4 linked regions of the Astyanax mexicanus genome follow. The protein of the gene in region 1 interacts with the protein of each later gene in a biochemical or structural test. Links are inferred from orthologs where the notes say so. Each region holds a gene or a part of one and is shown in the gene's direction. Other genes may lie near its edges. The genes, in order: rb1, ccnb1, cdk4 and myod1.

Region 1 (8,179 bases):
GACCTCAGTATTGCCCATTGTATTTTTTAGTGGTTTTGGTATGTATTTTAATGATGTCAATTGATTAAATAAATAAATCAGATTAATCACAGCATCATTCTTCAGGCATCTTAAGACATAAGCGTTAAATAATGGATATTTAAATGTAAATAAAATAATAATTATATTTGTTTTAATAGTGTCAATTGCTTAGTAAAATCATTTAAATGCTGGTACTGCTCTGTGTTTTTTGGAGGGAGAATAAATTATAGTGTATTGTGGTGTAACTGGATAATAGACTAGACTTTTTAACTTTATTATAGATTTATTTTAAATTAGAATATTTTAATGTATGGATTAACAGTTTATTTAAAAACCTTTATCATCAAACAAAAGTATGTGCCTGCTGATATTAATATGTCCCCAGGCTCTGTGAAAATGTGACTGGAGGTAACTGGCACTAAACTTGTGTAAAAAAGTGTCCAGATTAATCGCACGCCTATAAATTAATGAAATTAATCATAACTCTATTCTGGATAAATAACAATAGTCATATATCACACGTGTCCTTCTGCTTAAAATAATAAATGCAGAATATTTAATTAGTGGTGTCAATTGCTTAAAACATTAGCTATATGAATCGCAAAAATGTTCTGTGATTATTCATAAATAAAATTATAAATCTAAATTTCAGAAGACATATTATACCTCTTTTTATACATAGTTATATAGTTAAAATTGGTCTATGGTTTGTTCAAAACATGCTTGTAAGGTTTTTACACAAAATTGCTCTCACATAAAGATGAAGATTTCACCATCTCTATTCTTACCAGGTTCAGTCCTTTTTAGAATGAGCTGTTTAAGGGTTCTGACACTTTTATGCAAATAAACTGTTATTGGCCACTGCATGTATACGCTGAGTGTTTACCACACATTAGTGTTCGCTTGTGCTGAACTGCAAAACTGTGATAAAACACAAAACGTATTAATAGAAAGTAATTACATCTCGCTCATCTGCTGACTTGTCACGGACAGTAGTGACAGATCTCACTCTGGGGTAATTTTCTCTTTTACAGGGGGTCCTTTGTGATTTTATTCCCATCCAGAACAACCATGTATGTGTTTTTCTCAGACGTCCTCTGTTTTTCGCTGAACTCCGTGGTCTGGTCATTTTAGTCCCATCCGGATTCACATCTCTGATTTTCGTCTCCTCGCATTTAATAAAATAGCTATTTGTCCACTGCCATGCACCGTAATTACACTTTGGGCATGCGTTTCCACAGAGATCCACGTAAACACAACAGCATGTGGAAATGGAGGAGCTACTGAACGCGATGTCATGTAACCGAGAAAGCTTAAAAAGTCACTGCTCCTGCTGTTTTTTTATTTGGAGTCCAGATGCAAGAGTTTTACCACTCAGTAGAAGTGTGATAGGGTTTTTAGAATGCAAATAAAATGTTTTTTTTTTCTTCAAACATGGTTTTACATGCATTGGTCTCATTTTTGCCTGTGTTCTTTTTTTGTTCTTTGTAGGTTTGATGTATCCAATGTGATGTCCGTTACTCTTAGCTGTGATCACCGGGTGGTGGACGGAGCAGTAGGGGCTCAGTGGCTGGCCGAGTTCCGCAAGTTCCTGGAGAAACCCATGAATATGCTGCTTTGAGCGGGGGGCTGGCCCTGCCCCTCAGCTGACCATATACCAGGACTTTCAGATAGCTTAAAGGAGGAGGTCTCTTTCAGATGTTATGCAGACAGAATTATAACTGGCTCTTTTCTCCCCCTCTTGGTTTCACACTTATCTTTCACTTCCCGTGGGTACTGTAATTCCACAGCTTTAACACGACAGGTCCAGAGTAGTGCTTTACTGTCTAGGTCAATTTGTAGAGTCGACAGTAGATGGAAATGTTGAATGAGGAAATGTTTTTTGTTTTCTGCCAGGGAGCTTTTAAAAGCACCACAAGTTGTGATTCCTCTTCCTTCTAGGGGTTGAAAACAGTCTAAATTCAGCTGTTTTCTTCACCAGGCTTTTACCCCATGCTGTGGTCTCTCTAAGCCTCACTTAACTGGTACATTTGGAGACAAAGTGACAAAATGAACTGATATTGAAACGCTCCGGTGCCAAAGGAACCTATCACCTGTATGTCTCTATCTGGTTAAAGGTTTTCCTATGGTTACTAAGACCTTTTTACAATTCTGAAATGTTGTTTCATGCTTCCTGAGTTGTACATACATGTAGTGGTTTCATCTCTGGTCTATATGGCAACCCTATCTGAACGCTGAACTCTGCGTTTATTTATTACATCTGTCACTCCAGACAAAGCACGTTAGTGCCTTTGTTCTGTGTTCTTATTTCTTACAAATGTTTTTTTTTTTTTTTAATATGGCAATATTTTCAGACCTATATTTCTGTACTGAATACGCACAAACACGCAGAGCTGGGCAAACTGCTTCTTAAATAAACAAAATCAGATCCTCAGATTGAACTGAAATGATGGTCTGCATATTAATAAGTATCTCTTCTCAGAGGAGAGAGAGAGAGAACACTGGGTTCAGGGCGCCAGGAAGTGTTGGCAAATCAATATCTATGGTTACAGCTAAAGGCAAAGGGAAGTCAAGATGTATGGTTTTATTTTAGTTAATAAGGTGAACAAAAACATAACACAATGATGAGGGACAGAAAATAGACAGAAAATAAATGTTCTCATACATTTTAAAACCTCCAAAGTTTATATATTTATCTGAGTTTTGCTGGGAGATCTAACATTTTTGGGGTTATCATATGGGTTTTACTTTTAAATACCTCTAAATATTAGGACATACTGATGCCTCTTGTGTTTATAATGCTGTCCCTGTGGACAAGTCTACGATTTATCCGAAGATCACACTACAGAGTGTCCATTACTGGTAACTCCAGAGTTTGTTCAATATGTTCATTTGAATGAGAAAATACAACCAGTAATAAACCCCTTTACCTAATGTTTGCACCTTTCACAGGTCAACTTTGTGTGTTTTTGCTGTTGTTTTATGCACAAACATTTAGGCTCCCTAATCAATATTTTAATGTAATCCTTAATTAAACAAGAAATGTGTAAAGCAAATGTAAAGATATAAATAGTCTCATGTTATTACTCATATAAGAAAGCTAGTGCATTTTAAAATAAAAGCCTGAACGCATGCCTGTGCACAGATCGATTGTACAATTACAATAATGCAAAGATATGATTTTATGTAGGTTGAATGAGGACACCTCTGGACCAGAGGAAGTGAAACAGGAGAGGATGGATTGGGGTCTTAACTATCTAATTCCACCCCTTAGGGAATGTCTAGATATTTCAAACCCAATATTTGCCGACATATTTATTGTACGCCAGAAAAGGACTTGGAGACGCCGGGCACAAGTTAATTTTAATCACCGCCCATGGAGGACTAATTAAGCTTTGTTAGTGTTTATAGATAATTATAGTTTCTGTGGTCATAGTGTATAATATAAAAATAACAGGAAAAATAAAAAGGGTGGAGAGAAAAAAAGGACAAACTATAGCTATTTTGTATTGTATGTAGAAATAAATACAGAGAAAGAGAGGGAATAATCTGCCCAATCTCGCTGTGTGTGTGGGAAAATTCGGGTTGAGATGTTGGATGTTTAGGATGGTTTTGATGTAATGGTTATGAAGAAAAACAGGGTTTAAAGTTGCAAACAGTCTATGTAAGGACCAGTTTAAACCACTAAAAACATGTGAAATACGTATACTGGGGTGTCTAGGCTCGCTGTAAGTTATGTTTATTGTGTATATCGGCATCAGCAGACATATACATGTGTTATATCGGCCTAGAACTCCCACATTGATGCATCTCTAGAAAAAAATACCAATAATAATATTTTTTAAGCCCATTTCTCCCCAATATACACAGCCAATTACCCAACCCACTCATTAGGACTCCCCCTAACACTAGTGATGACCCAACACCTGGAGGGTGAAGACTAACACATGCCTTCTCCGATACATGTGAAGTCAGACTCCGCCTCTTTTTTATGGAGTAGCATCACAGTGCACTCGACAGCTCAATTATGCCTTGTGCTGATCAACATCACCCTTTAGAGTGATGAGAGAAAAGAGTGCTATCCACCCACCCAGAGAGAGCAAGCAAAATTGTGCTCTCTCAGGACTCCAGCAGCTGATGGCAAACTGCATGAACGGATTTGAACCAGCGATCTCCCAATCATAGTGACCAATAATATTAACCATTTTAATAGACATTAGTATTAGTATTATTTTATTTAACAATTAGGATAAGTCTTTATTAATCCCACAGTTGGGGGAAATTTACAGTACAGCAGTTACAGCAGTGCCGCGGGGAAAAACAGAAGTGTCATGCTAAAAAAATTAATTAAAAAAATAGAAAACAAGTGGTGATATTGCATATATGAACAATTGTAAGGCTTTTTATGACATTTTACTTTAATATTCTTCAATAAATATTATTTATAAATATAATATTTATAATTTGCAGTAAGTATGTATGATATTTTACTTAAAATAATGTTTCAGGTACCAAAATCCGTCTCTGACGCTTTCTTGTTTCCGGAAATGACGTGAGTGTAGCAGGAAGTTGAGCTGCGGAGTTTTCCCGCGGTTTGAGGCTGTGGGATCAGCGCTGGATAGTGGAGGCGGTTTCGGGGAGGCCCCTGTTCACCCGGTTTACTCCCTGCCTGCAGTTTTTTATTACCTGTATATTCAGTTATCAGTAAGATCCAGCTCTCATACAGCTGATCCACACCTCCATTCACTCTAACCCGCTCTGTCTGAAGACCCGCGAAGGATTTAATCAGCCATGCCGCCCAGAAAGCGCAGCTCCGGGACCGGGAGCAGCCGGAGGGGCGCCTCTTCCCCGGAGCTCCGGCAGTCCGGCTCCGCCATCAGCCCGCAACAGTAAGAACCCCGCGCTGCTGATCCGGCTCCGTGTTTCTCCGCGGCCGCTCTGTCCGCTCTTCTGTTTATATCTTGTGTTTAATCATTAGTTTGGGTAGTTAGATAGTTTATGAGTTAGCTCGGTCTGCTAGCTAACCTACAGTAAGTTACACAAGTTAACTAGCTACAGAGTTAGCTAACTGAGCTAGTTAGCCTGCTAGCTAACTTTTGTTTTGTCAACAGTCTCGTCACAACAAGTTATTCTCACGTATTTTCCCAACACAACCCCTTCTTCCCTTCAATAACATCCTGATATACTCCACTAAATACATCAACTTTACTCTAACTCCACATTTCATTGATTTAACTCGAATATCCTCAATGCTGTCATTCAGATAGATATTTAATCAGACTGATTTAACTCAAATATCCTTAATGCTGTTATTCAGTCAAACAGTTTTACTGCTTTAACTCAAATATCATTAACGCTGTTATTCAAACAGTTTTACTGATTTAACTCAAATATCCTTAATGCTGTTATTCAGTCAGACAGTTTTACTGATTTAACTCAAATATCCTTAATGATGTTATTCAGTCAAACAGTTTTACTGATTTAACTCAAATATCCTTAATGTTGTTATTCAGTCACTGTTTTAATGATTTAACTCAAATATTTTTAATGTTGTTACTCAGTCAGACAGTTTTACTGATTTAATTCAAATATCCTTAATGTTGTTACTCAGTCAGACAGTTTTACTGATTTAACTCCAATATCCTTAATGTTGTTATTCGGTCAGACAATATTACTGATTTAAGTCCAATATCCTTAATATTATTATTCAGTCAGACAGTTTTACTGATTTAACTCAAATATCCTTAATGCTGTTATTCAGTCAGACAGACTGTTTTACTGATTTAGTAGGATCAGTCTTAATGCTGTCATATAGATAGATAGTCAGAAAGACAGATTTTTTAGACAGGTTGACTGTATCACTTATTTAATTCTAATAGTCCCAATGCTGCCATTCAGATAGATAATCAGACAGACACTGTTACACTGATTTAACTCAAACAGTCTCAATGTTGCCATTATATATATGTATATATAGACAGATAGACAAATAGATAGACAGGCTGTGTTACTCATTTAACTCAGTGTCTGTGATTCCATTCACATAGAAAAAGATCGATATAGACTGATAAAAAGACATTCAGATAGATTAGACGGACTGTTTTACTGATTTAACTTGAGCAATTATAGCGATGCCATTCAGATAGATATATAATCAGAAAGACACACAGACAAATAGATTGTGGGACAAATACACTGTTGCAGTGATTTAACTCTAATAGTCTAATAGTGCTGCCATTCAGATAGATAATCAGACAGACAGACAGACTGTTGCACTGATTTAACTCAAACTATTTTAATGCTGCTATTCTAATATATACATAAAGATAGACAGACAGGTACATATACTTTTTTTTACTGATTTAACTCATACAATCTTAATTCTACCATTATAATCTAATATATAGATAGTGGGAGACTGTTTTACTGATTAACTCGAACAGTCACAGCGATAACATATAGATAGATAGAAAGACAGACAGACGGAGTGTTTTGCTGATTTAACTAAAATAATCTAAATGCTGCCTGTTTAATATATAGAGATACAGACTGTTTTACTAATTTAACTTAACTCAAACAGTCTGATGCCAGACAGACAGACAGACAGACAGACAGACACACTGTTACTGATGTAACACGAACAGTCTCAATAGGCATTTCGATAGACAGACACTGTTTTGCTGATGTAACTTGAAACAGTCTCACTGCTGCCTTTCTAATATATAGATATAGACAGGTACACAGACAGACTGTTTTACTGATTTAACTCAAATAGTCTTAATACTGCTATTCAGATAGCTAGACAGACAAGAGACATTCATTAAGATAGACAGACAGCCAGTGCAAGACATATAAAAGCCCACATAGAGTTTACCAAAAACACATAAAGGACTCCCAGGCTATAAGAAATAAGATTCTCTGGTCTGTTGAGATAAGGATTGAACATGCACTGCTCATTACCTGCCCAATACCATCCCAACAGTGAAACATGGTGGTGGCAGCATCATGCTTTTGTGGTATTTTTTTTTTTTTTTTTTTTTTTAGCTTCAGGGACAGGAAAGGAAAGATGAATGCAGCTAAGTACAGAGATATCCTGGAAGACTGGGCCAAAGGTTCAGTAAATAGAATACAAGTACACAAAATATACTGCTGTCAAAGAGAATGTCGCTATTAATTTATCACTGTATTACTATTATTATTTTTTTATTGCTTCATAAATTAAAAAATATTCTCATGAGCGATGCAATATGGAACACCCCTATTTAAAAAAAAAATATTTGAGAAAATCTTCACACACTAATTTTATTTACCTTTTCTCTCTGCCAGGCACACAGAGAAGGATTCTGACTTCGTGACCCTTTGCAAGGAGCTTTTTGTGACCAACACGGTGTGTAACAGAGCGTGGGCCATCTGGACGTCTGCTGCCATATCGGCAGAGAAAATTAATGTAGGTTTTTTTTTTATTATTATTATTATTCGGTTTCTACAATTCCTGTCTCTAGTGCAATTTCTGTGTGTAACTTACTGTCTGTTTGTTGCAGAATTCAAACAGGCCACTGTGGGGAGTGTGTGTCTTTATTTCTGCTGTAGACCTGGAAGAGATCAGCTTCACGTTTACACAACTACTGAAAGCTGTTGGTCTGAGGTAAAGTATTGACATTAAAACTTGTCAGTATCAATTTTATTTCTGCTATAAATTAGAAAAGATTGAAATGCTTTGACTTTGTGATTGCTATGTAAGAAAACTGTGTAGTTTGCACATGTCTTTATAACTGTAACTCTTATTATATACAGGATTGGTTTTAAGCGTAGGGGTGGGCAATATTATATCGTATACAATATATCGTGACACAGAAATATCATGATATTAAAAATCCATATCGTGATAATAGGGCTGTTCTGTCTTAAAAGTAGTCTATTATTTACTGTGAAGCTTTAGGTGTATTAATTGTATAATTGTTTTAGTTTGCAGTTTATATGCATGCACTAAATATTCAGCAATATTATTTGCTGCATTATATTATTTTATGCTATATTATTTATTTTGCCACATTATGGTTATTCTGTTATACTATTATACTATATTCCTGAAATGAATGGATTATTTTCGTTTTCCTATATCGCCAAGTATATCGTTATAGCAAAAATACCCTGAAAT
Region 2 (8,084 bases), on another chromosome or scaffold:
TTTTCTGTATTGGTAGAGGCTGCCTTTCCAACTGCGTCTCATCCCAAAATTGTACACGGAGAGGTCAAAAAAGTGGTTAATATATTTTCATCATGCCCCAGTGCCTGATTCCTTGCTTTACTAAATAAGCAAGCTTAATTGGAAGGCTGTATTTTAAGTCGTTCCACAATTATACAATTCCTTGGTCAGTTATAAACAAATCAAAGCCACATGCACAAATCTACCAATTATGGATGAGAGACAAATAATGGACACGTGTATCTGTCAGTTACACACGACGAGCTGCAGACAGTGAGTTTCTACACTAAAATTACCATACCAGTGAGTTCATGGACCAAAGAGGGTTAAAGAATTGTCACTTGTTATTAATCTTCTTTACCAATCCAACGGTTATTCGCACTCACCCATTATTTGTTACAAACTTTTAAAAAATTATGGAATTGATTAAAGAACCATTTATAGTGCTCTTATTTGAAAGAGTGTTGTGTATTTGAATTGTCTGATGCAAAGTTACAGGTGCATTTAAAAAGAAAGTGAATATCCTACATTATATTGGTCTTATATAATATTCAAATTTTATGAAACACTGATTTTTGGGATTTCATTGGCTGTAAGCCATAATCATCAACAATAAAAAAAATAAATAAATGCATGAAATAGATCACTCTGTGTGAAATACATCTATATAATATATGAGTTTCACATTTAAACTGATTTACTGAAATAAAGTAATTTTTCAATGATTTTAGTTATTTTTTGAGATGCATCTTTACTTGCCATTAGAGGTCAATTCTTAGACAGGGATTAAGCCAAGTCTTCAACTACACAGCATTTTGAATGAAGAATTAATTGAAAGTAGGCTTAAACACTGTCTGAGAAGCTGCCACTAAATGTGATAATATAATTTCACTCTAATAGAATATGAACTTTGCAAGGATTATAAATCTGAAAAATTATATTCATTTATTTTTATATTCTGTTCCCGAACAGCCTGTGTCTGTGGGTGGACTGCTTGTGAATTTAGTGGGCATCTGTGCCTTCAGCCATGCCCACTCCCATGGGGCTTCTAAGAGCAGCTGCTCAGGCCATGAGCATGGTCACTCGCATCACGGACATGGGCACGGAGAACACGGCCATGGAAGCCACGGACACAGCCATGGGGGCCACGGCCATTCTCACAGCCATGGTCATTCCCATGGCTCTGGAGGAAGTGGCATGAATGCTAATATGAGAGGTAGCTGCACTTTTATGTTTAAGCAATACTGTCTATTCTATTCTTGTGTTTTCTCTCTCTTTTTTTTTTTTTTTTAACTCATTACCGTGTTTTTAGTGCAGAAGAAAATACACTGTGTTTACAAAAAAAGTGACACCAATTAATATTTTCTGAAATGAATAAGGAGGTTTAAACATACCATATTTTACAGACTATAAGGCACACTATATTATAAGGCACACTATCAATGAACGTCTGTTTTCTGGTCTATTTTCAGCAGGTCTTGCTGCTAAGGGGGACTAACTAAACAAAACTGTTAATCTCTAAAATAATTTTATTAATAATTTTAATTTTTAAATTTTAAAATATTTTTTTTTTAAGTCAAACGAGCGCTGGATGTTAATCTGCACAGATTTCTCTCTTGAAAACTGTTTATTTGGGTAAATTTGAGTAAAGTGCTTCTGTTCCCTTACAGTAAGCTCAGATTTCCAGTATTTTAGCTCGGTTAGCACTAGTAAATGCCACCCTATAACACTTCACTGCGGAACACTGAGCGTCCCAGTAAGCCAGGGTGCTACCAGCTATAGGGATCAGGGCAAATCTGGTAAACACACAGGCTACAATCCGATATACTCACTTCTGAACTGCATAAGAGCTAGCGCTTAGCGCAGTTAGCAGCTAATGCTAATACTGCTCCAGCCTCGGTGCTGGGGACACTTCATTTAATCTCCTTAATAACGCTGTACTTCAGCGGCGTGGTTTTATTGCTCCTTACAACCTGATTGGTAGAATTCATACATAAGGCGCACCGGATTATAAGGTGCACTAATGCTTTTTGGGAAAATTAAAGGAATTTAAGTGTGCCTAATATTTAAGCTTTAAACACCAATTGAAAAGATTATAACAGAAGAATTAACCATAAAATGAACATTACCTCCTTATTTCTACACTCTTTGTTAATTTCATCTGCTTCACTGTCTGCAAGGAGTACTTTGTAGTTCTTTAAATACAGACTGTAGTACTCATACTTTGTAGTTTCTCATACATTATTATCATTTTTTCACCCTGATATGCAAAAATTCTAAAATGTTAATGTTATGCAGTACATATATTTTGGATATACACTATGTCTAAATGTTTGTGAACATTTACTTGCTGTAAGTTCCACCAATTGCTGGCAGAAAGAAACCAATGCACACATTCAACTTGTCTGGTAGTGCCAATAAAATAGGACCTAGAAATGAAACCTGTGTCTACTTTACTTCTATTCCTATTCTATTATATTCTTGACTGTTATGAGCACTGACTCTGAGTGTGAATGGTTTCAGGTGTCTTTCTGCACGTCCTGGCCGATACATTGGGCAGTGTTGGGGTCATCATATCTACAGTGCTCATCAGTCAGTTTGGCTGGCTGATAGCAGACCCCATATGTTCCCTGTTCATCGCCACACTCATCTTTCTGAGCGTCATTCCCCTGTTAAAGGATGCCTGTGAAGTCCTCCTGCTCAGGATTCCACCTGAGAATGAGAAGGACCTCAACTTTGCTCTGGAAAAGGTATAAATTTAGGTGTTTTTGCAGAAAATTTGAGAAAGTGTGTAGCTTTTTAGAATATGGTTATATACAGTGACAGGCGCCATACAACAGTATCAGTACTGTGAAAAGATCTTAAGACCTTAAAGCTGATTAATGCTTCTGGGTTGAATGTATCTGGAATTTAGACCAATTTATGCTTCTGCTACTGTAGCATACACAAAGATTCCTATCCTACACTGAAACCTGACACCACTCTAACCAGAAATGTAACTTCTTTTCATGGTAACACAAACCACAGCTTTTTTTTTTGTATGTTTTTAAGCAATTAAAAAATCTGCCCAGATAAAGAGCTTTTACATTCCAGGGTCTGAGGTGCGTGAAACGTTTGCACAGTACTGCAGAATGTAGTAAAAACAGCCGTTTCTTTCCAACTTAGATCCAGAAAATAGAAGGTGTTTTGTCGTACCGTGACCCACACTTCTGGAGGCATTCCGCCAGTGTTCTGGGTGGAACTATTCATCTGCAGATCATGTCCGATGTGGTGGAACAGAGAATAATTCAGCAGGTTTGAAAGGAGTTCTCATTCATTCTTATTTTTCAAATGAACGTCAGCTATCTGATGTATTTGTTACATGAATTAACTGTTGTGGTTTTGTTTCTATCAGGTAACCTCGGTACTAAAGGATGCGGGTGTGAATAATCTGACGGTGCAGGTGGAGAAGGAGGCCTATTTTCAGCACATGTCTGGCCTCAGCACAGGATTCCACGAAGTTCTGGCAATGACACAACAGATGGAGTCCATGAAATACTACAAAGATGGCACATGTATCATGTAAACAGTTGTATATGTAAATGATTTTTTTTCTTTAATTAAAACAATTTTACTTGTGGTTTTATTTCTGTGTGACTATTATAAAAGGTAAATTGATTAAAGCAAATGCAAATGCAAAAAAAAAAAAGCAAAAGGTGAAGACACCAGCTCATCCGTGTTTGGTGTTCGTCCCATTTTTGTAGCGGTAATTGTGTTTAATCTTCTGAAATGGCATAACTCCTCGAGTTAGAACAGTGTTAAATGGATTTTAAAGCTTCCAGACTAAAAACAAAAAAGCAAGATCAGGTACTGATGGTGGGTGGCTGGATAGTGTCTGACCATTTATGTGGTATTTGTTTAGATATTGAACAAAATATTTCTAGAGTGTTTGTTGTTAATATGTGATAGAATGATCGATTTCGTATGAATGATCATTTATCTAATATACTGTAGTATTAGTCAATATAAATATATATTAGGACAAATCATATTTAATTTATATAAATTTCCAAGATTGTTTTTTTCTTGTTTTTTTTTTTTTTTTACTTTATAAAAATATATATCATTTTAAAAATAATCAAATTATTAATATATATATATATATATATATATATATATATATATATATATATATATATATATATATACATATACATGCAGACTACTTAACAATTATGAGTTTTTTACCAAATTAAAAACCACTGGAATATAAACTCGAGGAAGACGGATGATAACAAGGTATTAAACCAAGCTAGAATTTAGATTTTTTGCACTAGGAGTGGCACCAGGAGTTATCCAAAAGCAGTGTGTAATACAGGTGGAGGAGGACATGCCAAGATGCATGAAAGCTGTGATTAAAAACCAGGGTTATTCCACCAAATATTGAACTCTTTATGAATATCAACTTGTTTTCTTTGCATTATTTGACGTCTAAACAAGCTCTGCATCGTTTTGGTTATTTCAGCCATTTCTCATCATCAAATGCTCTAAATTAAAATATTTTTATTTGGTATTTTGGAGAAACGTTGACCGTAGTTTATAGAATAAAACAACACTGTTCGTTTAACTCAAACATAAACCTATAAATAGCAATCCATTCATTTGTACAGTACATGTCCTCCGGAGCAGTAGGTGGCGGTACAGGGCTGTATAAAAAAACCCGAAGGAGAGATTTAACCACTGAGTCCCCTCCCTTTGATGGGTCACGTGCTCATCAGTCGCCTTAGAAACGCATTGTTATCAGCTGTGTCTCGGCCAATCAGATTGCGCGAGTTTTAGAACGCAGCGAATCAGGTTCGAAAGAGCGACAATTTAAACCTGAGGGAGATGCTGGTTTGGTACGTGCTGTTTCAGCGCTGACCTGTTCACTCTACAGACCCACAAACTGAGATACAGCAGCTCAGACATGGCTCTCCGCGTCACAAGAGTAAGTTTACACCTTTTAAAAGCCTTTTCTTCTTTTAAATACGGCTGTTTTTACGTGCTTAAACTGTATGTTGACTTATATTTAACTAATGTTAAGTCTAGTTTAGTTAAATGCTCATGTTTATAGTCTTACTTGGCGATTTTAACTACTTGAGCAGTTTAATCTGCTTAGTGAATGTTATATTAAGTAAGCTTAACTTAATATAACATGTTTTTTCTATATTTAACCTTTTAAAACAGAGTACTCGCCTGGCCAGCAGCGAGAACCAGAATGCTGTTGCTGGAAAAGCAGTAGTTGCAAGCAAGCCTTCACTAAGGCCCAGAAATGCTCTTGGAGAGATTGGAAATGCAGTGCTGCCCCGACAGACCCTGAAGAAAAAGGTATCTAGCTTTTATATAAGAAAATCCTCCCTTATTTTAACTACAGAATTTTGTTGTGAAATGTGCTCTGTCTAACTTGAATGAACTTGTTTTCTGAAGCAGGATGTGAAGCCTGCTGCTCCTGCAGTGGTTGAGAAGGTGGTTGAGCCTGTTAAGCAGCCAAAGAAAGAAGTTCCTGCAGTTCAAAATGAGGTTCAGGTGGGGTTTTTGATTTGCATGAATGTCTGAGTAACATGTCTTGACTGGGTTATCTGTTTGCTAATAATATTAAAACTAGCTACTACGTGGTATAGCTTATCTGCAGTTCGGGTGGAGAAGCCATTTTCTTGCCCTACTTTATTACATGGGGTGGGGAGGAGGCAGGGGACCATTAGGGCTGTACAATAATTCAATAGAATTCAATGGTTTTTGTTTCTTTAATAGATGCAGTATTTTGCTTTATACTATCTTCAGTGTTACTGGCAGACTTATTTTGCCTTACATGAATTGCATTTTTTATTTTGTTTAAATTGTTTGTAGTGGGGCTGTGCTATGTATCATTGAATAATATTACTACATTTTTACTGTTATTGCAAATATTGTGATTATTTTAGCAACATATCTGCTGTTTTTAGCAAAAGTAAACACTTCTACTTAAATCAACTAGCGACAGACCTGAGTGCATTATTAGTCTGAAATGTTAGATTATTGAGTTGAGCTTGTAAAAATTAAACCAAATTACCCAATCAAATGTCATTTTGTAGCAGTAGTGTCTTAAAATGTTAACCTCCATGTTTTCTTGCCAAGAACATCACTATTTGCAAGAAAACCCTGACTTTTTGTTACTATTTTAAAGCCCTATGGCCCACGCCTTGTAGGTACTGAGGATGACTGGGTTGGGTTTTATATGCCCTTTATTCTAACTACAACTGCTACCACTAGCAAACTTGAAATATGTAGTGTTGCTAGAAGCTCTTAATTTAAATATTAATTGTCAAATTTGGCTGCAGCTTTGTGTTTCAGTAAAGCAAAATCGAACCAATCCTGGTTGTTTATAGCTTAGCTTCTCAGTTTCTCAGCAAAAAGGTTAGATTAGCTTGGTTGGAGTGGAAACTTGCAGCTTAGCACTTAGTCTCTTTGGGTAAGATCAAGGAACTTATAAAGGCTTATGGAGTGTTTAACATGTATCAAATGTGTTAAACATGTTTAGATAAAATGGATCATGCCTTTGGAGATGCCCTATTTTTTAGTGTTCAATTCACCAGCAGACCTGATGCAGTGCTTTTTAGCTCATTTAGCAAACAATTATTTAGTTCCAATGGGTGTTAAAGCAGAAACTATAAATTATGCAGGTTTTTTTTTTTTTTTTTTTTTTTTTTTTTTTTTTTTAAATCATCTGCAGGATTTGAAACATGCTTATGATCAAGTTACCATTGCTCTCAATGTGGCTGTGTTTTTTTTTTTAGTTGGTTTGCCTCTTTTCATTTCAGCTTTTGTCTGAGCCTTCCTCCCCTGTGCCTATGGAAACCTCTGGCTGTGCACCTGAGGATCTGTGCCAGGCTTTCTCTGATGTGCTGCTCAATATCAAAGATGTGGATGCTGATGACTACGACAATCCCATGCTCTGCAGTGAATATGTGAAGGACATCTACAAATACCTCCGGCAACTTGAGGTTGGTGTATAACCTCCCTTGTGCCCTCCTGTCCAATTATCTTGACTAGCTACAGCTTTTGGTAACATCCTGCCTCTGCTTGTGTCCCTAGGCTGATCAGGCTGTCAGGCCAAGGTATCTGGAAGGAAGGGAAGTCACTGGGAACATGCGTGCCATCCTTATTGACTGGCTTGTCCAGGTCCAAATCAAGTTTAGGCTGCTGCAGGAGACCATGTACATGACTGTGGCAATCATTGACCGCTTTCTTCAGGTGTGTAACATTTAGCTTCCTTGTGGTCTGTAAAGTCAAGTTTAAACCTAGTTGGATTGTTCGTTGACCTAAATGGATTTTGTAATCTAATATTTGGCTCTTTCAGGATCATCCAGTTCCCAAGAAGAGACTCCAGCTGGTTGGTGTCACTGCCATGTTCATTGCTTCCAAGTATGAGGAAATGTACCCACCAGAGATTGCAGACTTTGCCTTTGTGACCGACCGTGCCTACACTACTGCTGAAATCCGGGACATGGAGATGACCATCCTGAGGGTTCTGAAGTTTAGCTTTGGTAGACCTCTGCCCCTTCAGTTCCTGAGGAGGGCTTCAAAAATTGGAGAGGTACTTAATGGTTACTAATGCCTTCAGAAGCCTCTTAATTTAGTCTTGTTTTGGGTTTAAGACTAAATCAAATCTTTCTTGCAGGTTACTGCAGAGCACCACACCTTGGCTAAATACTTTGTAGAACTCACCATGGTGGACTACGACATGGTGCACTTTGCTCCCTCGCAAGTTGCCAGTGCTGCTTTTGCCCTCATGCTTAAGGTCTTTAACTGTGGTGAATGGGTAAGTCTGATTTACTTATGGTCCTCACTCCTGAATTAAGTTTCACAAGATCATTCTTTAAAATCTTTCTTTGGTTTTTGACAGACCCCAACTCTGCAGTTTTACATGGGCTATGCTGAGGACAGCCTGATTCCAGTGATGCAGCATATTGCCAAAAATGTGGTAAAGGTCAATGAAGGGCTCTCAAAACATCTGGTAAGTTTCATGTATGTAATTTGTACAAAAATGCTTGTAGATTACTTTAGTTTGC
Region 3 (8,420 bases), on another chromosome or scaffold:
GCGCCGACCGCCTGCACCGAGACCGGAACCACAACAACAACAACAACGGCAGCAGCAGCAGCAGCGGTGGCACGAGCGCAGCATCCCTACCTCCCGTTCAGCGCGGCGGCGGCGGCGGGGGCCCGCGCACAGGAGCAGCACCGGCGGCTGAGGCGCGCAGGTTCTCTAACCTGCGGCTGGAACCCTCGGGCGCGAGCTCCCCATCTCTATAAAAAACAAACCTCGGTTCTGTTGTTATTCTGCGCAGTGGCTCGAGCGCCCCTGTCCGAGATACCGATTTTTTTTTAAGTGACGTGACACCCACGTGCTCTAAGCCCCTCCCCTCCCCACACATCCTCACCCCCACCAGCCTGGTACTAGTGAGTCACACAGCTTAGCTTAGCAGCTAGGCTAACTCTGACTATATTACATGATAAAAGTGTTGTTGGATGTTTCTCCAAACCAAACAACATGAAGAACAGACTCGTGTTAATTTTCTTTTTCATGTAAGAACACACCGGCAAAGACACAAAAATACAAGAACACAAGAACAAACAACAGCTGCAACTGTTATATTTATATTATATAAAATTATTGTACAGTACTATAAAGACAAGGGGTGGGCAATTAATTTAACTAAATGGCAGCTTGACACTGGGACTATTTTTAGGGCTGGGTCAACTGATTGATCTCAATTTGCCTCAATGTTAATAATCCAGTAATTATATGGATTTCATTAAATGTTATTGGTAAGATATTACTCTTAGTAAAAACATAAATTACATAATTATTTAATCACCATTTACATAAACAACTATGAATAAAATGTCCATGTTTTTCATAAAAAAACAACAACATTAAACTCAAAGCATTATTCCTCTATTTGATTTGTAGCCTAATTTCTTTTTCAGTACTTTTTCTTGTTATGTAAAAGAAATGTATTCAACAAGTGCAGTGAAGTAGGTTCTGTTTCTAAGGTGGATATGTGAATGGCCAGATGTGGCCCCAGGGCCATAAAATCCTTTTTCACTTTAGCCACAATAGCTAAACCCAGATAGCAAAATTACATTAAATAATTCCCTTATTTCTCCATCTCAAATGTTGATCTCCAACATCAGGGTTGATTTATTTATGCACATCAATTTTCATTTGATTTAACATTGATTCAACATTGAGCGTAGTGATGAAAAAGGTGTTTAAATAAAAATCATATTTTTTTATAATAATAATAATAATTTATAAATAAGGTGTCTTTTTGAATTGAAGAATTTTGAAGATGCTTTGCACTAAGACTTTGAAATATTTGTCTACTTATAATACTTATAATATAATACTTAACTACTAATTGAAAACAAAATCATGGACTCTGTAAAAATAAAACAAAAGACTCTGTATCTAATGTTTAACAAATTGTTTTGACAAATAAGGTCCTAAAGTTAATAAATCCTAAAATAAATATATTATGGCCTCGATAAAAAATAACAAAACCTTTAGTCGATTTATTATTATTATTATTATTATTATTATTATTATTATTATTATTATTATTATTATTATTATTATTATTATTTCTGATGTGTTTATTTATTTATTTACTGTAAGGAATATAGGCTGTTCTTAAAGCACTGCTGTATATCAGCCTAGCAACAGCACGCCTCATCCAATCACAGCGCGCCTTCCGCAGTGGGGCGCGTTTTGATTGGCTCCCTGCTGCCACGAAGCGACAGCCCTCTCAACGCACGGATGATGAATCCTCGCGCCGCTTAGATTCAACCAGACCACTGAATTAAAACAAATATTAAATTTAGAGATAGTGGAATATATAATTTAATTAAACTCAGCACACAGAGTAATGTATGTGATCAGAAAGTCGAAAAGCACATATAATAAGGGTTTAAACTGATGGATAGATTTACTCAACATTAAAATAAATTATAATAAAAATATATAGTAATATATGTGTGTTTGTGTGTGTGTGTGTGTGTGTGTTACATTGTACACATTGTACATCAACATACAATCCAATATTAACAGTAAAACACATAGTGATAATAAAAGGTCTATAAGAGTGGTATGGGAGATTTTCAAGGCAACAAACACTGCTGACCTAAAAGTATTTTATTTGCCAAAAACATCTTTATGATCTCCAGGACTTTGGAAGAATATTCTGTTGACTGATGAGAGAAAAGTGGAACTTTTTGGAAGGCGTGAGTCTTGTTACATCTGACAAAAAATGCACTATTCCGGAAAAGAACAAGAACACCATATTTAAAGTCATACACTGTGGTTGTTGCTGCCAAGGGTGGCACAACCAAGTTATCAGGTTTAGGAAGCAAATATATAAATATATATGTACGCATATATACAGCTATGAAGAAAATCAAGAGTCCTCTTTAGTTTATGAATCAGTTTATCTGATTTTGCTATTTATATGCATATATTTGATTAACATGAACATTGTTGTTTTATTCTATAAACTACAGACAACATTTCTCCCAAATTCCAAATGAAAAATATTGTCATTTAGAGCAATTAATTGCAGAAAATTAGAGATGGCTGAAAAAAAAACAAAAAAGATGCAGAGCTTTTAGACCTCAAATAATGCAAAGAAAACAAGTTCATATTCATAAAGTTTTAAGAGTTCAGAAATCAATATTTGACAGAATAACCCTGTTTTTTAATCACAATTTTAATGCGTGTGTGTGTGTGTGTGTGTGTAAACAGTCACTTTTCGTCTGGAATAAATAAATCTCTATGTATCTCTATCAATCTTTTTTTAAATAATGTTTATATAAATCGCTCTCTCTCTCTCTGAGCTGAGACTAATACAGTCAGTGTCTCTTCATCAGATGAGCTGATTTTTTTTATGTCTCGATCTGACAATAAAAATGTCACCTCTGATTCTGCTGTTGTCCAGATACACGTGCATTCTAATCACAGAAAGTATAATTACCACTGAAGCAGCTGACTGGTGCTTGGCCACGGTTTGTGTGACTTTATGGAAATGGACTGCGCCCTGCATCTATTATTAAGGCCAATGCAACAGCCAACCAGCACCATAACAATGGGTCACAGCAACCAGATGAAAATTTATTAGTAACAACCAAGCAACACCTTAAAAACAATTAAAAATGTCCTGACAACCGCTTATCAACACACTGACAGCTGCATAAAACATCATAGCAGATCATAACTGCTATAACAATACTTCAAGCTGCATAGTAACTCTGAGGCAACCATCATGAAACCATCCTAGAAACTACTTAACAAATGCTAAACAACAGCTGGAGTAGCAACCAAAAAATACACCTTTGTAACCTCAAAGCAATATCCTAGGACCCATGTATACAGGAACTAAAATATTATATTCTACTAACAATTTAGCAAGAATGAAACAACTGCCTAAAAACACCATAGCAACAATCAAAAAATGCCATAGCAATCACATAGCAACTACCTGTTTTAAATTAACCAGCAATGTTGATGTCAATCGAAATTTCTGCTTATAAATTAAGATTATGTTTTGACTCACAGTGATGCTACTTAATTGTTTAACTCAACTTCAACCTGTATTACATACTGCATACAAAAGAAAACTTCTTTAACTTTCTTTTTGTATGTTTCTTGTTTTTTTTTGTTTTTTTTTTTTTGTCTTAAGAATGATTGTAAACAATCCATAGTCCTAACAAGCTAATTAAGGTCTTGGTAAAAGTTATCTGAAAGCTTTTTTTTTGCATTTATTTTTTATTGAAATTTTTACTACATTATTTTTCATTTTAAACTTTATTCCTTTTGAAAATCATCTTATATTCACTTGCAACATTCCCCTGTAACAGAACAAGGATGAGCAGGGGTGCCCAGACCTTTGAACGCCCCTCTTTTTGTTTGCTGTTAAAATTTTTAATTGTTTAATATATTTTGTTTAATTATTCATGATTATTTTTAATATCATTACAAATGAAAGATTATTACCAAAGAAGAAATGCTAAGAGAGCACACTCCTCTATTTCTTTGCTTTTAACCCTAAAGGAACTGATGCATCACTACAGGACTGTGTGTAAATGTGTGATCATGTGACATTATTTACAGAGGTGTGCTGGGTTACTGCTGGAGATAGTTCATTTTAAAGGTGTATGTTTTGCTATTGTATTCATCCATTTTAACAATTAATGTTTGAAACCCTATAAGACTAATTCTGAGAATTTCTAGAACAAAATGTTAAAATCCAAAAAGTTATGTCATTGCTTCATTTACATTAAATAATATATTTACAGGCAAGTGCCCATAATAAAAAAAACATTAATGAGTTGCTCACTTCTTCTTCTTCTTTTCGTTTCTTGAAGCTTGTTGGTTATATGATTGTTTCCCATTTCTTTACACAGTCTTTTGCGTTTTTATTGAATATGGCAAGATCTTTTAAGCTGCACTGATTGTGTAGTAGGGGCAAACAAGGCAGTGCTGCATTGTGTGGTCCTCTCCACATTCACAGGTGGTTTGGCCAACTTTGTAGTTGCTCACTGAATATATTTGATTACATTTTGAATTGGGCATCAGTATTTAGAAATTAGTCTGGGCCCTTATTGTTTTTTTTTGTAATATCTAAATTTAATATCTAATTAGATTTAGACCTAACCTAACATTCCAATAACTCAGTAATGTTAGGTTGCCTATCATTTGGATATGTATACACACTTACAACTACAGCATTACACTTTGCCATAAGTTTATATAAAACACAAGCCATTTCTGATGTTAAAAGTACATAATTGTGCAAAGATTAGCATAATAATTATAGTAGTAGTAGTAGTTGTTGTTGTAGTAGTATATTTTACAGTGATGCACTATATAATCACAAACCAAAATTATTTATCAAGAAAATTTTTTTGGCTAAAAAAATTTCTGAATTATGTTCAACAGCACTATACATAACTGCTATAATTTCTTTTTTATGTACTCACCTGTTACTAATTTTGCATTGTAATAATGATAATTAAAGAAAACAGCACTTTTGGTGTTTGGCCAACTAAGTGAAAAGATTTATGATGAACACTGATATTTTCTTTGCAACAAAAAACAAACAAACAAACAAACAAACGAACAAAAAAGTTTTATTATTTAAACCAAAACCCCTTAACTTCTATCACCTGCCTGAAATCGAAGTGGGCGTGGCTAGCGCCTCGGCCCAGCAGTGGGTGTATGTGGGTGGGCTGACCCCGCCCATTCAACCAGCGCTCCGCCCCTTTTACTTGCTTTATTCCACATTTAGGCTCCGCCCCCATGACAGGACCGGAAGCATCTCATTTTCACAATGAGTTCAAAGTGAGAAGGGGAGAAAAGTTCGAGAAAGCTGAAAAAGCGTAAAAATATTTGCGTTTTAATCGTTAACGCTAAAAATACCGAAGCGCGCACGCTTAACCGGGTTGGATGGAGCGCGCGGGGCGCGAGGACGCGCAGATGTGATGATTTGGGGTGGTTATTGGGTAATATTGGGGTGATTTGTGGTCAGTCTGGCTGGAGACAGCGTGCTAGTTTGCTTCGCAAACAATACGATGGTAAGAGCCTGAACTGTTTATTAATTCGATGTGTGATTCGGTTTGTTTGTAATTTTAGGAGATATTGTTGTTTTTTAACCAAATGTGTGTCTTGCAATTACGCAGCGTCCTTGGGAGTCTTTTAAAGTGTGTGAGCATGTGCTTGGTGATCAGATTAATTGATTAGTTTGATTATTGATTGGTGATCAGCTTTGGTAAGATCCCATTCTTACTAATTAACAAAGAGCCCTCCGAAGGCCACCACGTGTTGAGGAAGGAGCTGGTTAAGGCCAGTCAGTGCACCAATGGAAACACTAGGCCTTTCCATATCTTTTAAACAGAAATAATCATGAAAATATATGTGATATAAACTCATCTGTGTGTTACCTGAATATTTATTAAATGATAAAACGTGTTTCTTATTAATATACAACTTTAAAGAGCTAAAATAGCGCACAAAGCTACTCTTAACTTCGGACTGTCTGTTCCACCTTAAATGTGCAGCAGTTACATTCAAGCGCCATCGGGGCGTCTGATGTGCAGTGACGGCAACTGCTGTACGTTTAAGGTGGAACGGAGAATATAAGGCAAGAGCCAGTTATGTTTAATCAAGTTAGCAAAGTGATTTTAAGTCTTCTAAAAATCCTGTTCTTTGTACGTCATTATATAATCACCGCATAACAGCAAAATACAACTATGCCAGTGTTTTCTAAACAGTACAGAGCTTATATTTAATCAATAGACGAAAACAATGGAGAAAAACTGGTTAAATAAGTTAAAAACTTTAAAAAGAAAAACTGTAGTATAAGTTGGTAAAACATTTAAGAATTAACAGCTTAAATTTATAAGTTTTTTTTTAAATGTGTAAAAAAATAAATAAAATAAGCTAAAACTAGCTATAGATTAAAATAAGTAAAGCAAATAAGCAAAATAAGTAAAACAGTACTAAGTAGTAAAAGTAATGTAAAATAAAATGGTTACAGGCAGAGTAAAGGTAGTGTGTGCAAATGATCTACAATTACAAAATATACCCCACCACAGTCAATGTGTTTGTTTGTTGGGAAACAACATTAAATGTGATAAACAAACTGTGTTAATCTGTAAAAAGTGATTATGGGGAAGGTGTGTTTTTGTTTGTGTGTTTGTGGTGAACCTCAGGAATGTTAGGTTGCCTGTCACTTTGGAAATGTACACACACTTAGCATTTATTAAGCATTTCAGTATTACACTTGGCCTAAAGGTGTTTACATGCAACACAAGCCATTTCTGCTGTTATAAGTACATAATTATGCATAGTTTTGCATAATAATTATGGAATAAGTAGTATTATATTTTGCAGTGATGCACTATATACTCTCAAACCACTAAATTATTTGGCAACCAAATTTTTGTGGCCAGAAAGTGTCAAAGATGTTCAACAGCACAATGCATATCTGCTATAATTTCTTTTTGTACTCACTTGTGTCTAATTTTGCATAGTAATAAAAGTGATTATTGTTTTTAGGCATTCGCCGAAATTGTTTGGATGTAATTAACAAAAACAGCACTTTGGTTGTTTGGCCAAATAAGTGAAAAGACCAAAGAATTGATGTTAAATAGTTGTATTTTCTTTGCAAAAAAACAGGTTATTAGGACAAATAATTTAGAAGTGAAACAAAATATCGAAAATACCAATAACTACATATATTGTCATTTTAGTTTGCAATACATTATCATTAACCAGTGTCAAACATTGTTTTTATTAAAACGTCTCACAATTTGACTTAATGAAGTTACTTCTTCAGTACTCCACCTGATGGTCCTAATCAATATATTATATTATATTGTGAGATCCCATATGATTTGCTATTCAGCTTTCAGTCAAAGGTTTTAATTTTGGTTTAGGCCAAAAAATGTCATTTTGCATCCTTCATATCTTTTTATTTGTCAGTCTTACTGGTGTTTATAATGACCAAGAGAAATGTTCCAAATATCTGTTTCCATTATCTTTCCTTTTCTGTAGGCTTGAAGTCTATATTCAGAAGATATTATATTAAGTATTCAATGGATGAATTCAGGTTTACATAAATTGATTGATTTCTTATTAGCTCTTTAATCTCCTCATTCTGCAGGCTATGACCCAGGAGGGCGGGGTCCAGTATGAACCGGTGGCGGAGATCGGCGGTGGTGCATATGGGACTGTGTATAAGGCTCGGGATACACAGAGTGGTCAGTTTGTGGCCCTGAAGAGTGTCCGTGTTCAGACTGACCAGGAGGGCCTCCCGCTGTCAACAGTTCGAGAAGTGGCCCTGCTGAAGAGACTGGAGCAGTTCGACCATCCAAATATTGTCAAGTATGTACTGTCTGATCCCATTTCGGATCAGAATGCTGCACTATGTAACTCTGCCTAACCTGAGTCATGTTGATGTAAAATCCTTTATTATTCCTCTACCACATCAGTCCACTGCTTCTACATCTCACAGCTTGTCCAGAAATGCACGTGTACAGCTGTCCACTATAGTGCAAACAGAGCCAGATTTATATTTACTGCAGTGATTATAATACTCACTTATATTTGCTTTATTTACTTAACGGTCACTGCTTACATCCTGTGCGTTCTTTGTTGAGCAACACATACTGTAAACTAGAGGAAACTTTAGAGTTAACAGATTTTGAGAACAACAGACATGGCGACGGTGAATGAGACAATTATAAAAAAAAAGGCAGCAGTCTAGGCAGCCATAAACAAGCGCACAAGATAAATGTGTATCAGTACGAACAGAGGTCTTAGTTTAACTATTGTGTGGAATTACTCTCCACACCTGTAGGGGGAACCCAGGAGCAAAAAGTACCAGCTCTCAGCTTCAGCTCGTGTAGGAAACCTTGATATTAAATTTCATCTTACACTAAAATCCGCCTTCTTATTTTTTA
Region 4 (8,258 bases), on another chromosome or scaffold:
GTCCATCACACACTCCTGCACCTATAGTCCACCACACACTCCTGTATATAGTCCATCACACACTCCTGCACACCCAGTCCATCACACACTCCTGCACACCCAGTCCATCACACACTCCTGCACACCCAGTCCATCACACACTCCTGCACACCCAGTCCATCACACACTCCTGCACCTATAGTCCATCACACATTCCTACAGCTATAGTCCATCACACACTCCTGCACCTATAATCCATCACACACTCCTGCACCTATAAGAGATAGGTACATTTCCTTACATGTACACAAGCAAATGTAAAAGTGCAAAATTGCCACATCCAGTCCAACTGCACATGTTTACCCTCTCAGAGTTTAATAACTCCTGGCACTGACTAAGAAAGGCTGATTTGAAGTAATAAAAAGGAGGTCAATACGCTAGCTTAACAATGGCAGGATAAAGATTAGACATGTGACCAAAAAAAACAGACAAGGTACACACTGCTGAACAATATTTAACAGAAAAATAATCATTAGCATGCAGAAGATTAAATCAGGATATGAAATAAATACTAGATAAGAAGCAGTATAAAATAGAGTATGTGGATTTGCAACTATGAGAAAAAACAGAAGATTACATACTATTAGGCCGTTTTACATTATGGTACAGAGCATTAATCAACATTTACATCATGTAGAGGTGCATTTAGTTCTAGGTTTGTTCATTTCCCTTTGAAGTGTGAGAAGGCCCAGCAACATTGTACATGATAACCCCTTTCCACAGCAATCATTTAATTTTAGACAGGGTTTAACATTTAAATTTCATTTCATCGAAAAATACGTAAAAAAAAAAAAAAAAAAAAAAAAAATTAAGCTAGAATAAGGGATTTGTTTTGGAAAACAATTTCTTTTAATATTATATATCCCAGTAGCATAATAATAAATCAGATGATCTCACTATAAAAAAGAAAATAAATATTTTAAAATACATAAATGAAAGTATAAATACTGGGCCAGTCATTTGGAATGACTGAAGCTTTGAAACTAAGTGAATTCATTAAATGGTCTCCTACCAGCCTGTTTAACTGAGCTAGATATACCAGAACAGCGGACAAAGAAAAGACAAGGACGACTTCCTCGCTTCTGCAAAGTCACCTACTTAAATATTACACAGTCTGTATTTTAATGAGTTTTGCATCAGTTATAATTTATTGAGTTTTCATCCTAATATTGTTTCTACTGCCAGTGTTATGAGCACTTCCTTGTTTGGCCTACAGGGGCCCTAAGCTCTAAACTATACCATACATTGAATAACCTTGATTATTCTTGATAATCAAAATTAAGTATCTACAATACCAAATTACAAAGTAATCGTAGTGCTAGTTTAAAAAAATCACTCCTGTGTTCATTATGTGCCACATTAAATATTAGTTGTATAAAATGTAAGCGAATATTAAGCTCAACTAAGGAAGCTGGAGCAGATGTTTTCGTTGCAGTGGCACAGACATTCAACATTTCATAATGAATTAATGAAGGCATGTTAAGTCAAATGGCTTTCAGAAATGCTTCAAAATGGTCTACAAAAATGAATACAAATAATAAAAATTAGGTTTTTATTTCTTTCTTTCCTATAAAAATGCCACTTTAGAGGTAGTGACAGTAAGATGTTATGGTACTGTCCTCTGTTCAGAATTGAACGGAATAAATTGTGGGTATTGTATATTTCAGGCCAAGATTTTTGAGCAAGATGACCTGGCTTTGCCACGTGTGGCTGCATATTTCTATCTGGAGTCCACAAGAGAGCAGGAGCAGGCGGAAGCCATGCTACACTACCTGTCCGAGCGTGGAGGACAATACTGCAGCAAAGATATCCAGGTAAACCTTGCTGTCTATGCCCAGCATATCATGTGCTGTAGTGTTACTGTGAAATATGGTGAATAAAGATGTTTCTTGTCTTCTTTATAAAATAATAGTAGAATGCCCCTTTTCAGGTTTTGATTCTTCACTTTTTATCACTTTTTCGGTCTCACTGTTAGGAAACAAAAGTTTTCACAGATCTGCAGGATTATTTTACTGCCCACAGTTACTGCCAACATTGTATCCTCATCATATTACCTCTGTACCTTTAAAAATATTTTTTGGAGGGGCTCTTGACTGGATAGGCCAGCAGTTTAGGAGGAAAAGGGGTCAGAGAGAGAGAGGAGGATAAACCCCTGTGGGCTTTGCAGGGATCTCTTCTCTAATGCCTGTCAGGGTATACGTTTTCCCTGAGTTCCGGAAAATTGGGGAGATTAATGTGAAAGCGGAAGGACAGTGCATTAATTGTAGTTCCAGATGTACACTATGGCACTGGCTCTGCTGCCACTTCAGCCTGGGTCCTCTCTTTTTTTCCAACCTCCTCCTCTTCCCTAGTTTTATGACTCATGTAAAATTGATCCGGAGTGAGGCTGGTGAGGGTCCATCAGCAGCAATTTGGAACACCTTGTTATCCGCTGATGCATGGAGAGACGAAGGCGTGAGTGAGTTTAAATGGAGCTGGTTGAGTTGCTTGATTGTGAAATTGTATGCATATAAAAAAATATATATTATTATTTTAGCCATACAGATATTTTTAATAAGTACATGCAATAGATTTAAATTGATAGTAAAAATGGTACAAATAGTATAAAAACACTATCATTTATAAAGTCTGAGATAAAGAAAAGTTTTATATTTGAATGCAATCAAGACAGTGGGATCTAAAATCAGAGATTGTGGATAGGGTTTAAACACAACATGAACCACTGACTGTCTCCAATCTTTACATAGAAACCAGTGATTAAAAATCAATACTGTTTTTTTAAGCGATACAGTATTGCTTGTCTATACATTCGCTGTTAGTTTTAAAATTAGTAGAACTACACATCTGAGCAGTTTGTGTGTGTGTGTGTGTGTGTGTGTGTGTGTGTGTGTGTGTGTGTGTGTGTGTGTGTGTGTGTGTGTGTGTGTGTGTGTGTGCTATGCAGAGACCAGGGACAGAGCAGGTGTGTGCGCTGCTCCCTGCCCTGGAACTCCTGCTGGGCCAGTGGAAGGAGGAGATGGCCATCATGGTGGAGCTGTCTCAGCTAGCACGTGAACATGGAGACCCCCACTCTGCCAGTGTCCTCAAGAGCCACTTCCTCCAGCCTCTCGCACCAAAGATCAAGCTGCTAGGTGACCTCTTGACCAATGCTCGAAGACTGGGCTGCACCAGTGATGGTGCTGGAGGATATGGAGAGTACCTCATTGACCAGCTCTATGAGGAGCTGGCCAGTGCCTAAATGTCCTGTAAAGCCCCTTGTTGATGCATTAATGGCCTGACTAGCAGTTATTTCCTATCAATACTTTCTGCACTGTTAGATCCCGTGCTCAGCCTGCATGGAGTGTGTTCTGTTTGTGGCATGAAAGAGATGATTTGTGGGTTTCTTGAATGGCGTGTTCTTGAAGCTTGGTATTACCTTTCCCCACAGCTGAAAAGTACTGAGCAAGTGGAAAATAATGTGAATTTCCCATATTGTCAAAAGAAGTGCTAAAAACACGGGAGAGATTATTAAAAATGAATGACTAAGAGAAATTTTGACAAGTTTGATATGTTTTTTAGTGACTATGAATGTGTTTTTGTAAAAACAAAAAGCCTGTAGAGTGGAACAAAACTTGCTGTTTTACATTAAGAAGTGCCCTATATGAAAAAAAATTATGCAGTATTTTATAGACAGAATTTGATTCATTGTTATATTTTTTGACTGACACTGATTAAATGTTTTGGTCTGGATTGTGTATTGGAGGTTTAGATTTTTAATCTCACACTCCACCTATTTTTTTAGAAGTATTTTTAATCATTTCTGTTGCTTTTAAAGCGTGTTTTGTGATGGGTTCTGCGTGTTTGTATTGTGTTTGTATGTGTGGAAGACAAGAGTTTCCTTCTTTGCACTGTTACTTTTCTTTGTGTTCATGTGTGTGTTTTATGTAGGATTTAAGCCATAAACCAATAAAATCTATTGAAACTGTTAAATTAAAGTCTCAAGTATGATTTAATAGTGGGGCAACAGTTTCTTAAACACCAGAGAGATAACTCTGTTAAGATTATTCCTTGTTAAAAAGGAGCTGTGAAAGCTGTGATTTTGTCACTTGTAAATGGGATTATAACCCAGGCCTCTCTCCCGGTGGCTCACTGGCTCATTACTGCCATCTGTTGGTGGACCCATGGCACTGTTGGCTTCTATTTCTGAGACAAACTAAATACAGTAGGCTAGTACATGTTATAAGTAGCCTATGAACCGAATGAACTCCTAAAATGAATTTCCCCTGTCAGAATTTTTTGATTTATTCATGTATTCTTTTCTTAGAGGTCTGACTAAAATAACTTTGTCTGTACTAATTAGACTTCTCAGCAAATATTAATCAGAGAAAAAAAGAAAGAAAGCTAAGATAGAATAGATATTCCAGTAGTGTAGATGATCTGTACTTATAGCAGACACTACAGTCAAAATATTTAACCTTGCTTTACGTGCCCACTTTTTGTAGCTGTGTAATGTATCGAATGTAATGTAATACTAAAGGATTTGCTGCTTCAGAGTCTCAGGGGTTGTTTGGAAGTGTGTGTTCCGGAATTAGAAAATAAAAACAGAATTAAATGGGTGGTGGAGTTTCAGTATTAGAATGATATATTAAAGCCAACTCAGTTTAAAACATTTTAGTATATATTAACTTATGTACTACATATAAATATAGACCATTTCACTGCATATATTGTGCGCTTCCATGCGCTTACATTATGTGTTTCTTAGAAGTCAGACTTACTAAGAAACACACACAGCATATTTTGGTTGCTTACAGGATTTGCTATGTAAAAAATATTATGAAAAAGTTTAATTTCTTTTCTTATTCATATTAATTCAAGTAAACCATAGACTAAATTTCAATCTCCAGGTATGTTTTAAGATTCTCAGCATTATTTTTCAGTCTTCCAATTCTTAAATTCTGAGTTTTTCAAATCTGACAAATTTTTCACTCTAACCTTTATTGTTGTCTTTAGTGTTCGTCCGGCACAAACGACCCCTTCCAGCCCCCCATCGCCTCGGCCAGGGCGTTTATTGGCCTGCGGTTCAGGCCAAGGCCACTCCCCACCCAGCTGCCGGCCCATATAAACTGGCCTTTTCGCCTCCTCAGCAACAAGTAGCTGCAGGCTGCACTGGGACAGGAGTTGGTGGAGCCCTACCTGCAACACTCACTCATTCCCTCTCTCTTGTCTTTCACTCACTGCAGACATTAAGAGTGTGTGTTTAAACAGGACAGAAACCTGACAGAAAGTGTCTGAGCGCATTGGAGGCTCTCTGGAGTGTTGGCTCAACTCCTACCTTATTTTACACACTTAAAAAAAGTTTCATCACTTTGGTTTTTTGGGGGGTCAGAAAAAAGAGAGATGGAGCTGTCGGATATCCCGTTCCCCATCCCGTCCGCGGACGACTTCTACGACGACCCGTGCTTCAACACCAACGACATGCATTTCTTCGAGGACCTTGACCCACGGCTCGTGCACGTGAGTCTGCTCAAACCGGACGAGCACGGCCACGCGGAGGACGAGCACGTGCGCGCGCCCAGTGGCCACCACCAGGCGGGCAGGTGTCTCCTGTGGGCGTGCAAGGCTTGCAAGAGGAAGACGACGAACGCGGACCGGCGGAAGGCCGCCACCATGCGGGAGAGGAGGCGCCTGAGCAAAGTGAACGACGCCTTCGAGACGCTGAAGCGATGCACGTCGGCCAACCCCAACCAGAGGCTGCCAAAGGTGGAGATCCTGAGAAACGCCATCAGCTACATCGAGTCCCTGCAAGCTCTGCTGCGCAGCCAGGAGGACTCCTACTACCCGGTCCTGGATCAGTACAGCGGGGACTCGGACGCGTCCAGCCCCAGGTCCAACTGCTCCGACGGCATGGTGAGGAATCTGAGATCTCTAAAGACTTTTACTGTCAGGAGCTGTCACTTTGATCAACTAAACCAGACTCTAGTGTCAACTCTTTTTTAGTTACTCTTTTGTTACTTTATATTACAATAATAATATTATTTAGACTATATTGCCTATAACTCTAAAATATTTTGTTTTGTTGATTCCATTTAATTGATGTATTTATATTTTCTTTCAGATGGATTTCAACGGCCTATCATGTCCATCTAGAAGAAGAAACAGCTATGACAGTTCCTACTTCAACGAGAGTCAAAACGGTAAGATACCACCCCAAATAAATAATCAAGCATGAAACGTCACGAGACATTTTATAATAATATATTCAAGTGAATCAACAACTACAAAAAATAACATCTGATTCTTTCTCATTTCTCCAGTAGATGTGCGGAGCAGTAAATCCACAGTAGTGTCCAGTCTGGACTGTCTCTCCAGCATCGTGGAGCGAATTTCCACGGAAGCGCCCGCATGTCAGCCGCTCGCGACGCACGAGCCGTCGGACTGCAGCAGCACCAGCAGCCCGCGTTCTCCGCACGATGCGCCCGCGCTCAGCGAGACGGTACCGAGCACTCCCTCCCCCGGGAACGCCGTGTACCAAGTCCTGTAGAACACACACACAGACATGCACACACTCATACATACATACACACACGCGCGCGCGGTGTACAGGAGCCTTCAGGACTGTGCTGTTCCTGTGCGGGAGAACAGAAGTGGGAGAACATAAATTTTTACCTTTATCCTTTCTTTCGTTCTCTTTTCTCACACTATCTTCATTTTAATTCATTTAGTCTTTCCTGGATCTTTATTTTTATTTTATTTTTTCTTTCCTTTATTTTCCTGGTTTCTTTTTCCTTTATTTCTTCCTTCCAAACTTTTCTTTCTTCGTTCTTTCCTGTATTTCCACACTTTTCTTTTTATTTATTGTCCTTCTGTTTTTAGTCCGATCTTTTTTCAGATGATATTCATTTAGGTTTTTCTTTCATTCTCTTCACTCTTTCTTTGTACTTTTATACATTCTTTCTTCATTATTGTATTTGTATTTATTTCTTGTTGTTCGGACTTTTTCTTTCTTTCTTTCTTTCTTTCTTTCTTTTTCTTGTCCTTTACTATTTTGTATCTTTTTATTCTATCTTTTTTCTGTAGAAAATATAAAATTCCATGGTATCGATGGCTCTGCCGAAGTCAGTTTCTTAAAACCTTTTATTTATATGATTGTCAGCTGCAATATTGTGACCATATCTTCCCTTGTTGAACCTCTTCTTTCTGTCTCCTTCATCTTTTACGATTTCCTGATTGTTCATGTGAGAAAACACTTCATCTATGAGAAGTAGAGGACCAGTTTTGTATATGTGTATATAAGAGCTGTTTTGTTAAAAGGAGAAGTGATCAAACTTTGTATTTAATGCTGCCTGTGTGAGGAGTTTGTTGTGTCCGACGTTTATATTTATACTTCTTCAGTGAGTGAATGTGGATTAATAAAGAAATACTTATTTATACACACACCTGCTCTCGTCTGATCTTTTTTTTAAAGGCTCTCATCTGTTTTTAACAATTTAATCATAACATATATATTTCAAAGAGCATTTACTTTAAATATTAATTTAAATTGTATTTTATTTTTATAAGCACAACTAAATGTCGCTTTAACTTAGTCAGTTTATTTGTTCGTCTTCATATATCTTTTTTTCTTATATTTAAATTAACTCCAAAACGTTCGAATAGTTTGACTAACATAAAATATTTGCCATTTAAAAAAAATGTTTTGTATTGCCGATTGTTATACCCAGCGTGTCATAAATAATTATATAAACAACGCATAACTATGCGTATATGCATAACCTAATGACAAATTAGTTCATTTCTAAACGAACTACTAAACGCAGCAGTATGATCCCACAGATTTACTAAATTATTTTTCAAATAAGTCTTCTTTTTATTTAACAAATTAAGTTAATGAACATGCAGTCAGGTTAAATTAGTCACAGTTGAATTTCTGCTTGTTACTGTATAAATATAAATATTATTAAATATAAATTAGTATAATGCAGTGCTATTGTGTAAAATTAAGTATATTTCGTTGTTAAAAAATAACAAAAATAATGTTTCGATTGAGTGTTTAGTCCTGTTACATATGTCTTTTTTAATCACTTAACTTTAAAATTACATTTCCATTAAGAGATAATACTAATAATAATAATAATAATTATTATTATTATTATTATTATTATTATTATTATTATTATTATTATTATTATTATTATTATTATTATTATTATTATTATTATTATTATCTATGTAAAATC

What was found.
Region 2: of the proteins of rb1 (region 1) and ccnb1, one has a biochemical effect on the other in vitro, tested with the Homo sapiens proteins (2 studies listed by BioGRID). The link is inferred for Astyanax mexicanus from reciprocal best matches to the Homo sapiens genes RB1 and CCNB1.
Region 3: of the proteins of rb1 (region 1) and cdk4, one has a biochemical effect on the other in vitro, tested with the Homo sapiens proteins (40 studies listed by BioGRID, with this or other methods). The link is inferred for Astyanax mexicanus from reciprocal best matches to the Homo sapiens genes RB1 and CDK4.
Region 4: the proteins of rb1 (region 1) and myod1 form a complex in vitro, tested with the Homo sapiens proteins (2 studies listed by BioGRID). The link is inferred for Astyanax mexicanus from reciprocal best matches to the Homo sapiens genes RB1 and MYOD1.

What each region holds. Positions count from the first base shown.
Region 1 is NC_064424.1:7,182,501-7,190,679, reverse strand, and holds the start of rb1 (retinoblastoma-associated protein), read left to right. Parts: upstream 1-4,591; 5' UTR 4,592-4,812; coding exon 4,813-4,910; intron 4,911-7,347; coding exon 7,348-7,468; intron 7,469-7,562; coding exon 7,563-7,666; intron 7,667-8,179. Other genes in the region: dlat (dihydrolipoyllysine-residue acetyltransferase component of pyruvate dehydrogenase complex, mitochondrial), read left to right, coding at 1,513-1,642. UniProt on the Homo sapiens protein: Tumor suppressor that is a key regulator of the G1/S transition of the cell cycle. The hypophosphorylated form binds transcription regulators of the E2F family, preventing transcription of E2F-responsive genes.
Region 2 is NC_064408.1:19,581,271-19,589,354, forward strand, and holds the start of ccnb1 (G2/mitotic-specific cyclin-B1), read left to right. Parts: upstream 1-4,825; 5' UTR 4,826-4,963; coding exon 4,964-4,984; intron 4,985-5,223; coding exon 5,224-5,364; intron 5,365-5,463; coding exon 5,464-5,562; intron 5,563-6,833; coding exon 6,834-7,016; intron 7,017-7,107; coding exon 7,108-7,266; intron 7,267-7,372; coding exon 7,373-7,609; intron 7,610-7,693; coding exon 7,694-7,834; intron 7,835-7,918; coding exon 7,919-8,029; intron 8,030-8,084. Other genes in the region: slc30a5 (zinc transporter 5), read left to right, coding at 991-1,234, 2,542-2,768, 3,184-3,312, 3,413-3,583. UniProt on the Homo sapiens protein: Essential for the control of the cell cycle at the G2/M (mitosis) transition.
Region 3 is NC_064431.1:16,097,986-16,106,405, reverse strand, and holds the start of cdk4 (cyclin-dependent kinase 4), read left to right. Parts: upstream 1-5,261; 5' UTR 5,262-5,528; coding exon 5,529-5,531; intron 5,532-7,621; coding exon 7,622-7,842; intron 7,843-8,420.
Region 4 is NC_064409.1:62,751,723-62,759,980, reverse strand, and holds myod1 (myoblast determination protein 1 homolog), read left to right. Parts: upstream 1-5,155; 5' UTR 5,156-5,418; coding exon 5,419-5,928; intron 5,929-6,136; coding exon 6,137-6,215; intron 6,216-6,335; coding exon 6,336-6,562; 3' UTR 6,563-7,457; downstream 7,458-8,258. Other genes in the region: zgc:172145 (ferritin light chain, oocyte isoform-like), read left to right, coding at 1,707-1,853, 2,984-3,277. UniProt on the Homo sapiens protein: Acts as a transcriptional activator that promotes transcription of muscle-specific target genes and plays a role in muscle differentiation. Together with MYF5 and MYOG, co-occupies muscle-specific gene promoter core region during myogenesis.